Drosophila melanogaster: one gene and its partner. The protein of the gene in region 2 purifies or fractionates together with the protein of the main gene of each other region. This does not show direct contact. Each region holds a gene or a part of one and is shown on either strand. Other genes may lie near its edges.

Region 1 (5,758 bases), on a different chromosome or scaffold from region 2:
GTGCTTCACTTCGAAATGAAATTTTTATAAATAGTCAAAATTACACTGTAAAAAGAATCCTCACTGGCGCTTCTCTCCATTCAGGGTTGTCTTTATCTCGTTGAGACAATACTCGGCCTGCTCTACGGCATCGGGATTCTGGTGTTGCTTTCCCAGTTTCCACGCCAGTCGGCAAGCGTTCTCCGCCTGCGACATCAGGCCCTCGCGAAGATACACCAAACCCAGATTTGCCTGCAGAATGCCTTCCTGGGTGGCATCCTTTAGCTCCTTAGTCAGCTCCATGGCCTCCAAAAGGGTCTCCCTTGCCTCGGCGTACTTTTCCAGCTGTAATTAGTCTAATGTGTTTCAAGTACTTTGGAAGAATAGACGCACCTACGTTTACGTACGCCACACTGATGTTATTTAGGATGGTTACAGAGGCGTCGTTAACGGCACCATAAACATTTATGAGCGTGTCGAAGGCCTCCTTAAAGAGGTTTTTAGCCTCCAGGTATTTTCCCTGCTTCATCAGCAGCTGCCCGAACCTGGAAAATAAACATAAGGAAAAGTATTGAAAAAAGGCTTGGTTAGCGGCAATGGAAACACCTTCAATACCAATTCTTTGTCAAGCCATACAGCTCCAGTATGTCCTTGTCGTCGGGCATTTTCTCCAGTAGCTTAGCCAACTGCTGCAAGGTCCAAGTGAACCCTTGAAAGCTCTTTTCCAGATCCCCTTGCAGCTGAGACATGTGTGCTATCTTGGAGCTGATGTGAAGTATCTAAAGATGAAAGAGATCTTAACTGGTTATGGTGTCTAAGTGGGTCACCCACCTTGGGACTCTCTTCGGTGTGACCCTCGGCAAAAAGCCGTTTCATAACGTCCGTGAATATCTTCTCCGCCTTCTTAAACTGCTCGCGTTCCATGGCCAAATTGGCCATCAGATCAAACACATATGTGATGCCGTCCTTGCTCTGAATATCCTGCGCCATTCGCAGAGCCAGGTGAAGCATTTGCTCGGCCTTGTCGTACTGTTCCCTCTGAATGCACAGGATTGATCGTTTGATGGTCTTGATCAGTTTTTCCTCCGGAGTTTCCTCTTTTTCGTCGGCGCCACCAAACAGATTCAGAGTGAAAGCAGCGGAAAATGCCCAAAACATTCCACCGGAAGAGCCAGAAGCGGGCGGAGCTGCCCAGGACACCTCGTAGCCCGCAGCATTGGAGCACAGCGGTCGACATCCGAATTCTGACCGTTGGTGATAACGGCTTCTCTTCAGCGGCGCAAGATGACAGTAATCTCTGGGATTCACGACAACGCGGAACCTGCCCATAACTTGCGTAAACTTGCAAATATTTCTCACTAACATGTTTAGGGCTTTATTAATTATTTAACTAAAACCTATAATGTTGCAGGTATGGTATTAAAAATTATGAAATAGCACGTATGTAGTGTTGCAAAGCGCGGTAAAGACGTTTTAAAAGTACATTTCGTAACGCTTGATTAAGAACATAGAAGACTTTTAAATAATTTCTACTCTATCATACTTTCGCAAATATATTTATGTTTCGTTAAGATTTCGTAAACAAAGGTTTTTAAATTTTTTAGAGATGACACTGTCAAACAAAACTTTATCGGCAACTTTGGTACCTAACATTTCGTTCATAAGTTAAATCTGCGAACAAAAATAAATTGATAAGTAGAGTTATTAACAATCTCGAATAAAAAACATTTAAGTACATTTGATAAAGTTTTTCGTAATAAGGTACTTCCTTCCCCCATCGCATACGATACTATCGATAGCCGTCAGCGGGGCGATAGACCGAGAGAAAGCATCCCTGTATATTGATGGCGGATTGACGCTCTTTCGCCTAGTAAAATTATTTTTCTTATCAAGAAAAGGTGCAGAATATAACGAGGAGTGAATTCGCAAAGCAGTGCATGAAATAGCTGTGGGTCCGCCGGCTGTACCTACGTTTTATTTCAGATCTTTCCAGCGTCGCAGCGAGTTTCCAGCGATTTTCGGACAGCCATGAGACGTCGCAGCGAGCGAAAAAAGTCGTCGTCGCCCGCTCCGGTGCCGGTGGCAGTTGCACGGAGAAGTCGCCGCTCCCGCAAGGTGTCGGAGAACGAGAAGACCGAGGTCGAGACTCCGGTCGTGGCCCAAAATAATGAGGCCGAATGCCCCAAAGTACCGCCAGCCTCTCAAGAAATCAATGAGGCGCGGGCATCCAGTGAAGAACGTGCCGGATCTGGAGCATCGCCAGTGCGCAGGAGTCGCGGCAGCCGGACGACGCCTAGAAAGCGCACGGAGTCCAAGGGCGGCGACAAGAAGGTGGACACCATACCCGAGGAGGAGCCGGAGAATGGAAAGGATGTTGAAAAGGACGCTGTCGAGGAGGAAAAGACTGTAGCGCCACCCGCGGCTAATGAGAGCGAGTCCGAGGACCGTGCCAAGACGGAGGATCAGCAGGCTCAAGACGATGAATCCTGTGCTGAACCCGCTGTAGTCAAGGATGATGATGTTGAGAAAGAGGACTTAAAACCGCAGCAGGAGGTCCCCACTTCCACTGATGATGACACCAAGCAGAGCGAGCCAGAACAAGAGGTAAAGGTTCCTTCTCCTTCCAGCAAGGATGAGGAACATCTAAAAACGACTAGTGATGTATTAGACATTCAGACAGAAGAGGTCGATGAAAGGGACGAAGAAGCCTCCGCTCCTGCGGAGCGCAGAGAAACCAAGAAGAGGCACAAGGAGCAGATAAAGGAACAGCAACCCGCAGAGGAGGAGGAACACAAGGAAAACCACAAGCAGATAGACGAAAACCCAGAACAAATTCACGATGAACCAGCAGATCTTTCGAACGACAAGCACGATCCATGTCTAAACAGCAGCGCAACCAACACAACCGGTGCTCCAGTTCTGCAGCAACAACGGTCGGTGCGGAAGCGAAAGTGGCTGACTAACAAAAAGTCTTCGGATCGTACCCCGCCCGTGCTTGCCATTTCGACGGATTCCCTGAAGAACATTATAGCCGATGTGGTGCAGCCAGTGCCCCTAAGCGATGTGCAACTGGAATCGTCCTCAGAGGAGGAAGGCCTGGTCACCAGCGATCGCGATTCAGAGCGATCTGCTTCACCGGCGCCCCCATCTGAAGCAAGCAAAGACCGCGATAACAAGGGCAATACCGCCAACACCTGCGACACCACCGCAGAGGCGTCGGCAGATAATGAAGGAGCAGGAGCCGCTCCTCCAGCAGCAGCAGACACGGTTTCAGCCCAGGTCAGCCTGAGCAAAGCCACAGTTTCCACGGCAGCACCACACATAGTCCGTGACCCTAGTCCTGCTCGAAACCGCGCCAGCCACGTGCTCTATATCACCAATTTGGTACGCCCCTTCACAGTGCTGCAGCTGAAAGGCCTGCTGGCGCGGACGGGAAAGATCGTTGAGGAAGATGGTTTCTGGATAGATCGGATCAAGTCTAAGTGCTATGTTGCCTATTCCACTGAAGAGTAAGTATTGTAGTTGCGCAAATAGAACCTAATCTCCAGGGAGTCAGTGAAATATGCCTATAAAAAACTCACACTTGCAATTATTTTGCTTTTCAACCTTTAAGCGAGGCCATCGAAACCCGACATGCCCTGCACGGAGTTCGCTGGCCAGTGTCAAATCCCAAATGTTTGAATGTAGATTTTGGCAGTCGCACTGATATGGATCGGGCAATACTTTCAACGAAGGACGAGGCTCCGAGGTACGGGCAGGAAAACACCAGAGATAACCAGCAGTCGGGCAACGCTTGGTCCCGGTTGGAACCGTCTGACAAAAAAGTAATGGATTATTATCACAGCATAGAAATGCGGAGCTAACTTGTCTTTTTCCTTCAGCCTGCGCGACCTGTACGCGAATGGGATGTTGGCAAAAAGGAACCAAGCGACCACGACAAACACAGCAACGACAGGCGTCGGGACAGCAAGGATCGACTGGACTCGAGGTCTAGGGATGCGGAGCGAGCCGGACAGGAACGAAAGCGTTCTAGGGACAGAGAGGGGCGAGGACGCGATCGGGAGCGGGAGCGACTTGATCGCAATGCACATGCAAGGAGCCGCAGTGGATCGCCAGGTAAAGCCCGTGGGATACATTTTCCTGTCATGAGAAATTCAAAAACACCCCGTTTAAATAGCGTCCAAAACTAAGAAGGAGAATGAACCGCCTATCAGACTACTAGATGATCTATTTCGAAAAACCAAGGGAACACCTTGCATATACTGGCTGCCACTTACGCCGGAAGCGGTAAGTTGCTGAGATAAATAGTTCCAATCAACGAGAATCACTTCTAGACCAAGTCCGCCTGAACAATAAAATTTCTTCCGGCTTTCAGATCGCAGAAAAGGAGGCATTCCGTCAGAAACGCATTGAGGAGCACAAGCTGCGTATTAAGGAACGGGAGGAGCGCCAGAAAGAGCGGGAGAAGGATCGTGACCGCCAGCGCGAGACGCGTCGCAATCGTTCCAACGAACGGCGACGATCTCGCAGTCGCGAGCGGGAGCGAAGACGTTACTAGGCGGAGGCTTGAGATTGAGCAAATAAATGTTGATATCTCAAAAACTAAATCAACATATAAAAAAAAACTTCAAGAAACAGCAACTAAAACTTCAGCAGGGTCTCATCACCACCCGAATAATTTCAATTCTTTTCTTTCGAGCGTTTTGCGTTCCCAATTAGGCCGACGTTTGTAATATTCAACTTGAACTGAACCGACTTCAAATTGAATACTTTCGCCAACGTCTCATCCACATTCTGATTTTGAGATTTCAAACTCTCTTTTCTTCGTTATTTTTCTCATTGTTGTTGTTCCATATATATATAGCATATATATTTCCATATATATATATATAACCTGATTTGATTTCTTTCCTCAAATGTAGCATTTTACAGCGCCTAACGTCACCTCACCCCAAAACGAAACCACAGCAACCAGAAATGCGCCGGCATCAGATCAGCATCAACGCCATGGAAACTTACCATCGGACTCTTGAAACTACTGCAGCAAGTTACCATGCTTATATCTATTCAATAAACAAACATAAAATAATTGATTAAAATATTGTAAAATCAAATATTTCTTAAAATTTTAATGAACTTAGAAATACAATTTAACATCAGTCGGCAAGCTTGTGACAATGCCAAAACCCAAAAATGTGTTTTAAATGTCTGAGAAATATGCTTATCGCACGACTTATTCGAACAGAAAAAGAAAAGAATGTAATTCCTCAAAATTATAGAAAATGTTTTTGATTCGTAAGAATCATGGTATTTAGAGCATATTATTATAATTTTAATACTCTTTAATTTATATATAAGGTCAGATTTATAAAGTATGAACTTTTTGCCATTTATTTACTTTTCCTTATCAATTTTTAGTAAAAACACTGCTTTTATTAATAATCGCGAGTCTAATTTATTGATTAAACTTAAAAAAGAATAAATGAAGTTGTCCGTTAAAGTACCAGAATACCCCCAACAATAAGTTCGTTTTAATCGATAGTCCATGTTAATAAGCTATCGGAGCCGCTTAATGATTTATGTCAATAGTGCTATCGATGAGTTTTAATTTGTATTAACATTAATTTAGTGAAAAAATGTGGTCCGACACAATATTAATTGTTTTTATATCGGTTTGCACCGCCTTCCTGGGCGAAGGTAAGTAAAACGCCAGTTAATTTAGTTAACCCTACATATTTGTTTGCCTAGGTCTTACATGGGTGATGGTTTACCGGACGGA
Region 2 (7,581 bases):
CGTATATAAAATAATTGTTTGCATTGTAAAATTAGCACTAAGATCGTTTGTCATGGTTACATTTTGATTCCGAAGCTTAACAATAAACATGGAAGTGTTGGAAGCACGATTTAAATACGAATACGACATAGATTCAGATACGGGTTACAGATTACAGATTCAAAACAGCACACAGAAATGCTGGTGCCGTCTTACAAGCTAGATATGTGGTTTAATGAATAATGAATTTGACGATGTTAACGAATGTAAAAGCCACTCGAAATTTGCACTGTTTTTGGATGGGGTCAGCTCTCCTCAGCTGACCACCAATAGGCACTACGAAAATCTCGGATCAGCAACATGGTCCTTCCTTTGCTATTGCACGTTGACAAGTAGATGTACTGGAGATATGATTTCATTTAGCTGAACCAGCAGTTTCACTTGTTGCCGCTGCTCTCGCGCTCCTCTCGAATCCTCTTAAATGCCTCCGTCTTGACAAAGTCCACGGATCTATAGACCACGCTGCTAGGCACTGGCGCTCGAGCTCCGCCAGCTTCGACGCCTGCGAATCGCATTCCACTAGCTCCATTTCCGCCTTGTGAGTACAGATTCCCCACACTCATGCTGGATCGATTTAGCAATGGCGGTTTGTTGGTCACATCCAGATCAAAGTACTGCAGCTTGTGCTCAGTCTGCGCCGCCGCTTGCTGCTTGGGAGCAGCTGCTGCCGTCAAGCTCATCATGGCAGCCGCTGCGGAGGCGGTGCGCTGATGTTGTACCGACATGCTGCCGGGACTGTTCGGATGATGCCGATGCTGTTGGCGAGGCAGGGTGCGGGTCTCGTGAAAGAAGGCGTTGGCTGCCGCCGGGGAGTGTACATCCGTTTCATGCGGCAGCACCATTGAGAGAGGGGCACCGGAGGAACGTCGCGTTGCCGGCGACATGGTAGCCGAATTGCCCAACTAAAAAGAAGTCATTAGTAAATTGAATATGGGTGTGCACAACGTTTGTCACTCACCTTATAGGCATTCGGTTTGCACTTCCTGTCCACACTGGGCGGTCCAATGGGCTGCTGCAGTTGGGCTGCACCCAGTTTATTGGTTAACTGATCTACGCCCACCGGGGGCTTTGCAGGAAACTCCTCCGGCGGTTTGTCCTCTACAACTGGCAATCCACCCGCCACCTTTGGCTTAAGTTTCCGGTTAACCGGCGGGCAGTCCGCCTGCTCCATGAAGTCGTATCGAAAAACATTGCCCTCCATCTTTGTGGGAGCTGCATTGGTGTAGCAGTGTCGAGGCAATGTGCGCGCACTGGTGGGCGATGATGCGACTGCCTGTGCCTCACCCATCAGGCCGGGATTCGCTGCCGCTGAAATTGCGGCCACTGCACCCAGATCGGCCGCCATGAGATTCGGTGTGGATGCTGCAATGGGATTGGAATTGTGCGGGCTGGTGACTGGTCGCTCGCCCAGCAGCTGGTTGACGTTGTAGTAAGGCTGCTGGTGGGACCTTGGAATGTCATAGCTTTCCTCGATGAAAGCGGAGTGCGCGTTGCGGCGGGCCACAATGGCCGGCGAAGTATTTTCCGTATCCGACAGCTGCGGCAGATCGCGAGGAATTCTGTCAATGCGCAGGATGATTTAGTAGGCCGTTTAAAATTGAATTGAGTGTGTGTTAACTCACTTTTCATTCTCCTTAAAGTCCAATATGAGATTATTTTTGTTCTTCAGCACCTTGGCCAGCTTATCCAGCGTTCCCTGGTCACCAGCCTCTGGCAGAGATGCTGCTCCTGCTAGCTTGGAACTCTTTTCAGCTGGTGGCACGATCGCTCCTCCTTCCTCGGGCATTTTAGAGAATCGCTGCGAGTACGTTAGCACGAATGATTCGTTTTCAATGGAACTATCCGAAGGTCGGGTACTGCGATCTGTGAGAAATCTTTGTTTACTACGAGAATTCGCTTTGATATTTGCCTTTTGAGTACTTACCCACATTCTCGCGCAGTGGCAAAGGATGAGCCCACTCATCGTCATCGGTGAAAACGCTTTCCGAATCGGAGTCGGAGCGTTGTTTACTAGCATTGTTATTGGCCAATTGTTGCTGAAAGGCCAACATGATAATTAATTATAAATAATGCTTGACGCGCATCGTTATCGCTATCAACTTACCAGACTCAAATTGGTTATCTTCGGTGAGTAGGATTGATCGTTGGTCAGATTTAGACCTATGTTATTATGACTACGCGGCGTATCGTAGAACTTGGGATCCAAGTTGTTCAACGGCGTGGTGGGGTTGTTTGGTATGGCCAAATCTGCGCCGGGCAGTGGAACGCCGGGCAGGAATCTCGGGCTGCCCGAGAAGCACTCGCTGATGGGTATGTACGGTCCGGATGCGGTGCTCAAAGCGGGTGAAGCCTGTACGCTGCTGTGTTGCTGGGCAGCTGCCTCCGCCAGGGTCTGCTGCGTGAGCACCAGATGCTCCGGCAATTTGCGCACTACTCCGTTGGCACTGACCGCCAAGCGAGCAGCTTGTTGCTGCTGCTGCTGCAGTTGCTCGGCGGCTGCAGCTGCCGCCTGAGCTTGGATCAAAGCACTGTGGTTTAGATAAAGAGCCGTGGCCGGCGATGGAGGCGGTTGCTGCTGGGCAGCCGAGAGCAGTTCCTGCTGATCGAAATTGGCATCGCAGAGCATCGTCTCGCGATTGCTGTACTCCGTGTTGACATACACCGAGTCTGAGTTATTGTTGCCGGCATTCGAGGGCATCGGTTGCTCTTCAATGACCGCCGGTCGTCGCAGCTGGGCAGATCCTCCAGCATTTGGGACCGAAGCCTGAGGCGCTGTGGTTCCGGCCGACGAGTGCAACGATGTGGTGGTCGTATTTTGAGTGGAGTTGCTTAGACCGCCACTGGAGCTCGTGTGTTGGGTGCGGTTTTCGTCTGGGTGTTGCAAGAAAAGAAAAACTTAAGAAGGGGTTCTTTGGACATGGGCTTGCGGACACTCACCTGCACCCACAGCTCCTAATGGCAACTCATTCGATTGCTTTGTGTCGTGTAGGTGACACACCTGGCAGATGCAGTTCACCCAGTCGCGCATATCCGCCTCCGTCTCAGCAGCCAGGTAGTAGGTGCGCTTGGGCGTCTTGATATCGAACATGTACTGAAACTTCTGCTTGCGATTCTCCAGCCGCAGGCCACAGTCCACCTGCTCGCACTGATCCAAATCGATAACGCCCTTCAGCTTGCGGCAGTTGTGGTCGGTGTAGTATTCGAGGCAGAACTGCTCCGGTATCTCGCCCTGCTTCAGCGTGAAGTAGCGACGCCTCCAGCGCTACAAAGATAATTTGGAAACAAGGCGTTAAGAGTTGCAACGAGGCGTACAGTTGGAAAAGCAATAGTGATTTCTCCTATGCCATTACACACACAAGATTCCTTCATAGCGACATATGTTAAATGGGTCGTGGAATTGCAAATATCACACGATAAACTGTCTTTGTTTTTTTGTAGCAAAACAATTCAACAAAGTCAAAAATTCCCCCAAAATGAGATTTGTAGATATTGCTTCTTTTGCAAAGAGTCTGAGAATATTAAACAAGATTACACTGTTACAAATTGTACTAAGATGCCTGAATAGTGATGACTAACTTCATCAGGTAGTTACTCATCAGGGCGAAGAGCAAATGAACAATCTTGATGCTTACAATATCATTTACGCATCAAAAATGTAATTTTCCTAGAGATCTGATAATGCGGTATTTATGATTAGAATATAGTGAATCATTAGCAAATTTTCTAGAATTTGCGACACGCCAAGGCTTTCTTTAAGTCTATCTCTAATTATACTATATCTTGCAGTAGTTTAGCTATATATAAACGTACTACGCGAGTGTACCGATGTCTCCGTTCTGGATTAAGATACCCTTACTGAGCGATGGACTCCGGTTGTTGATATGAGGGTAGGGTACGGCTGATCAGCTCAACGACTGAGTACACTATCACTGCTGGTGAGTAAGCGGGTGATGAAGCCCGAGTCAACAGAGACTGCAGCGGCGCTGCTTTTCCGCGAATCATATTTTGCATTGGCATTTTCTTGGGTAATCAGCAGACACACACACAGAAATAACACCCCCGCCCACGTTACCGTTAAGCGGTTAAGAAATTAACAGCTGAGAGGTTCGGGAACCCGCTGAAAACGTAAAACTCCAGCTGATAATGGATGGTTTTTTTCGGACTGTATAATATCAAGCTTAATTGAATTATAAACAATAAACATAATGCCGCACACAGGCCAGAAATTGGCACCCCGAGGCGCTGGAAATACGCAGCTCATTTTCTCGAGGCATCATTAGAGTTTGTTTATACAATGGCGCTCAAGATATTAGAAACGCAAACGAAAATGTGCGGGCAAAGGTTCTATTTTTAAAATGTTTCTAAATTTGTTTACTTTTAACGCGCCGGAAAGGGTTGTTTTTAAAATTAGATAGCTGCTGTAAACCTTTACAACAAAATATTCCATATTTTGTACGAAGTTTGATGTCAAGAGGTTAGTTATTTAATTTATATTGTATAATCTTAAGCAGTTTTCAAAATAGTGTGATTGAATACTACCATTTTGGACGCTATTGCACGCCTCAACATAAGCAAACAAATTGAGTACAGTGAAACCATAAAGTGGGTTTGCTGTAACTGAAAATTCTGTGCTGCAGACCTTTTGATCAACGGTTTGGGTGTTCTTGGAACTGTCGTATCCATTATAAGTGGTTTCAAATGAACGCTCTAGAGATGGGCACACTACAGAGTGTCGTGTCACGAACTCCTGAGGGAGAACTTCTATATTTTAGCTTTACTAGTTTAAAATCCAGTAAAATTTATTTGTCTGAGCAAATCATTCTATTTATATTTAATAATATAAGCAAACATACTTTTCAACTATTCATCCCCTAAATGTTTAAAAAATAATTAATCCAAAAATCTAATAAGTCATACATTATGATGGACTGTAAATAAAAATTATTATGCTGACACTACAACAGCGCATCTCTAGCATAGGCAAAATCAACAACAACAAGGAGCTGGAAAGACAAGTGCGTCATTGTTTTTTTGGTCATCGTCGGTAGTTTATGTTGCTGTTGTTGCACATTGTTTTGTGCTTGATCCGGCTTATCGTCCGTGCACATAAAAAAGCAAAAACAAGCACATATGCGCATAAAAAACATGCACACACGAAATACGGGGCAAGTAAATTTGATTAAACGCAACAGTTGGCGGAAATTTAATACACGAACGGCTCCCTAAAGTAAACATTAAACGAAAAATTAATTAAGCGTAAATTTAGACCAGGGCAAAAGAAAAAAACACGTTCCCACGCCAAAAGCAAACATAAACAGAAAGAAACTGGGTGACGGAGAGGGTGGTGGGGAGAGAGACAGAGAGAGAGAGAGGGAAAAACGCAGAGGAAGCCATCGTAAATTCATTCACATTTTGCAATTTCTGCTGCGGTTTTCAACTTGTTTGCATTCCAATCAACTGGAATACTGGAATTGCAATCCCTCGGCTTAATAATGAATTAAATCATACCACAAACAACAACGCCAAACAAACCCACACACACTGAGGCAGGCACCAATACAGGCTTAGCGTAATTGTAAAAAAATGCCACTTCCATTATCCATCGTTTTTTTTTATCATTTTCGTGAGTCAATCGATGGACAAAGATTGCGGTATTTCTCTTCCGGCTTCAAGTTTACCGTTAGCCAATTGCGACTCTCTTTTCTTTGCACATTTCACTAATCAGTGGACATTTCTGATTTGATTGGATCAGAATTTTCATTTTGATTTCGTTTTGAGCTGGGGTTTCCAGGAAAATTCCTTAGCACTTGCACACACGCACACACGCTCAGGTTTTCGAAAGCCTACGTTTTTCCATTTTCGGAAACTTACTGCTCGCCAAATGCGCTTGGTGGGCGGCGACTTAATTAGCCAGCCCTCGTAGAAAGTGCGATCCATTATTTTGCAGCGCTCGACGCAATTTACTTCGATTTATTTCACTCCACTCCGCGCACACCAACTAGAGGTGGGCCTCACGCTTGCGATAGATCTTCCGAGGCAATATCGAATAAGTATTCGATAGGCTTAAGCTAAGTCTAAGATATATCGAAATAAAAGATGCGAACGCTTATATTCGGCGGAAAGTTATTATTATTTATATATTTGTTTGGTGTAAGCCCCATTGCTTCAAAACTTGAACTTAGTGTAATATACCGTTTGCTTCAAATTGTTTTAGATTAGTGTGACCGTAGTTGACATTACCCAACACTGGCACTATTTATAATTTTGAGTTGTAAAAATTAAGTATTTACAATCTTGTAAAAAACAAAACAAAACCTTTTTTGGTTGCCATATGAAACGTGTTCAATCTAGTATTTTAAAAATAAGTCCACAAATAGCCCATATAAAATATGTATACATATTTCAAAAAACACAAGTATTTCTTTGTTTGAAAACAAGAATTTGCAGATAACATAAGTATTTACCTAATAAATCAGCATAATAAATCCAAACAAAAGCTAATAACTAAAATCTTAAAAACTTTAAATGCAAACGAAGTATAGTTTTACAAATACGTTTTATTCTGCCGTGTCAAGCGTATGCCTAGAACATACAGATTATCCATGTAGAATAGCAATTTCTTCCACGACGCCGCACAGCAGAGCACGACCACTACCCAGATCTCAGGCGGAACCTGCGCCACGCCGGAATCCTGCTGCAGCCAGAGCTTACTTGTCCTTGCTGTCGCCCTTGCCACCACGGATCCTACCGGTACGACGGGCAGCGATGAGACCGACCTTGCGACCGGCGGATGTGCCTCGCTTGACGGTGGAGGCCTTACCAATGTGCTGATGGTTACCACCACCGTGAGGATGCTCCACGGGGTTCATGGCCACACCACGCACCTTAGGCCAGCTGTTGCGCTTCACCTTGTACTTGTGGTAGGCACGACCGGCCTTCAGGATGGGCTTGTCGATACGACCGCCGCCGGCGACGATGCCAACCATGGCGCGGTTGGCCGAGGGCACGACCTTCTTGGCGCCGGATGGCAGCTTGACACGCGTCTTCTTGGTGTCCTGGTTGTGGGCAATCACGGTGGCGTAGTTGCCAGAGGTGCGGGCCAAACGGCCGCGATCACCGGTCTTCTCCTCCAGGTTGCAGATGATGGTACCCTCGGGCATCTGGCTGAGGGGCATCACGTTGCCGATCTGAAGGGTGGCCTTGCGGCCGCAGTACACGAACTGGCCGGTGTGCATGCCCTCGGGGGCGATGAACAGCTCCTTGCGGATCTTGTAGCGGTAGGGGTCGCGGAAGTGGACGACGGCCAGAGGAGCGCCACGGCCGGGATCGTGGATGATGTCCTGAAACATGGAAGAAGTACGATTCGCTTAGTTACACTTCAAAAGCAGTTAAGCCAAGTGAGCTAAGTAACTTCTAGTAAGCTGGCACAGGTGCTCAAGCACGTCTCTTGAATGTGGCATGGCCAAATGCAAGTGATCTCATCCACATTAAACGGATAGGTGTAGTTGGTGATCCTAGGAGCACGTTACTCACCTTGACAAC

What was found.
Region 1: the proteins of dos (region 2) and Acn purify together in Drosophila melanogaster (affinity purification with mass spectrometry, with the first as the bait; one large-scale study listed by BioGRID). This does not show direct contact.

The regions. Positions count from the first base shown.
Region 1 is NT_033779.5:19,043,560-19,049,317, forward strand, and holds Acn (acinus), read left to right. Parts: upstream 1-1,795; 5' UTR 1,796-2,007; coding exon 2,008-3,488; intron 3,489-3,592; coding exon 3,593-3,803; intron 3,804-3,860; coding exon 3,861-4,095; intron 4,096-4,156; coding exon 4,157-4,266; intron 4,267-4,354; coding exon 4,355-4,537; 3' UTR 4,538-5,258; downstream 5,259-5,758. Other genes in the region: Ttc19 (tetratricopeptide repeat domain 19), read right to left, coding at 61-324, 377-524, 595-758, 811-1,344; CG10470 (uncharacterized protein), read left to right, coding at 5,616-5,676, 5,728-5,758.
Region 2 is NT_037436.4:2,587,882-2,595,462, reverse strand, and holds the start of dos (daughter of sevenless), read right to left. Parts: upstream 6,050-7,581; 5' UTR 5,977-6,049; coding exon 5,911-5,976; intron 5,262-5,910; exon of another isoform or gene 3,850-5,261; intron 3,302-3,849; coding exon 2,977-3,301; intron 2,911-2,976; coding exon 2,144-2,910; intron 2,076-2,143; coding exon 1,964-2,075; intron 1,903-1,963; coding exon 1,662-1,902; intron 1,599-1,661; coding exon 998-1,598; intron 942-997; coding exon 417-941; 3' UTR 1-416. Other genes in the region: RpL8 (ribosomal protein L8), read right to left, coding at 6,747-7,379, 7,573-7,581. UniProt on the Drosophila melanogaster protein: Essential component for signaling from various receptor tyrosine kinases such as Sevenless, TORSO and DER. Required for photoreceptor cell and wing development.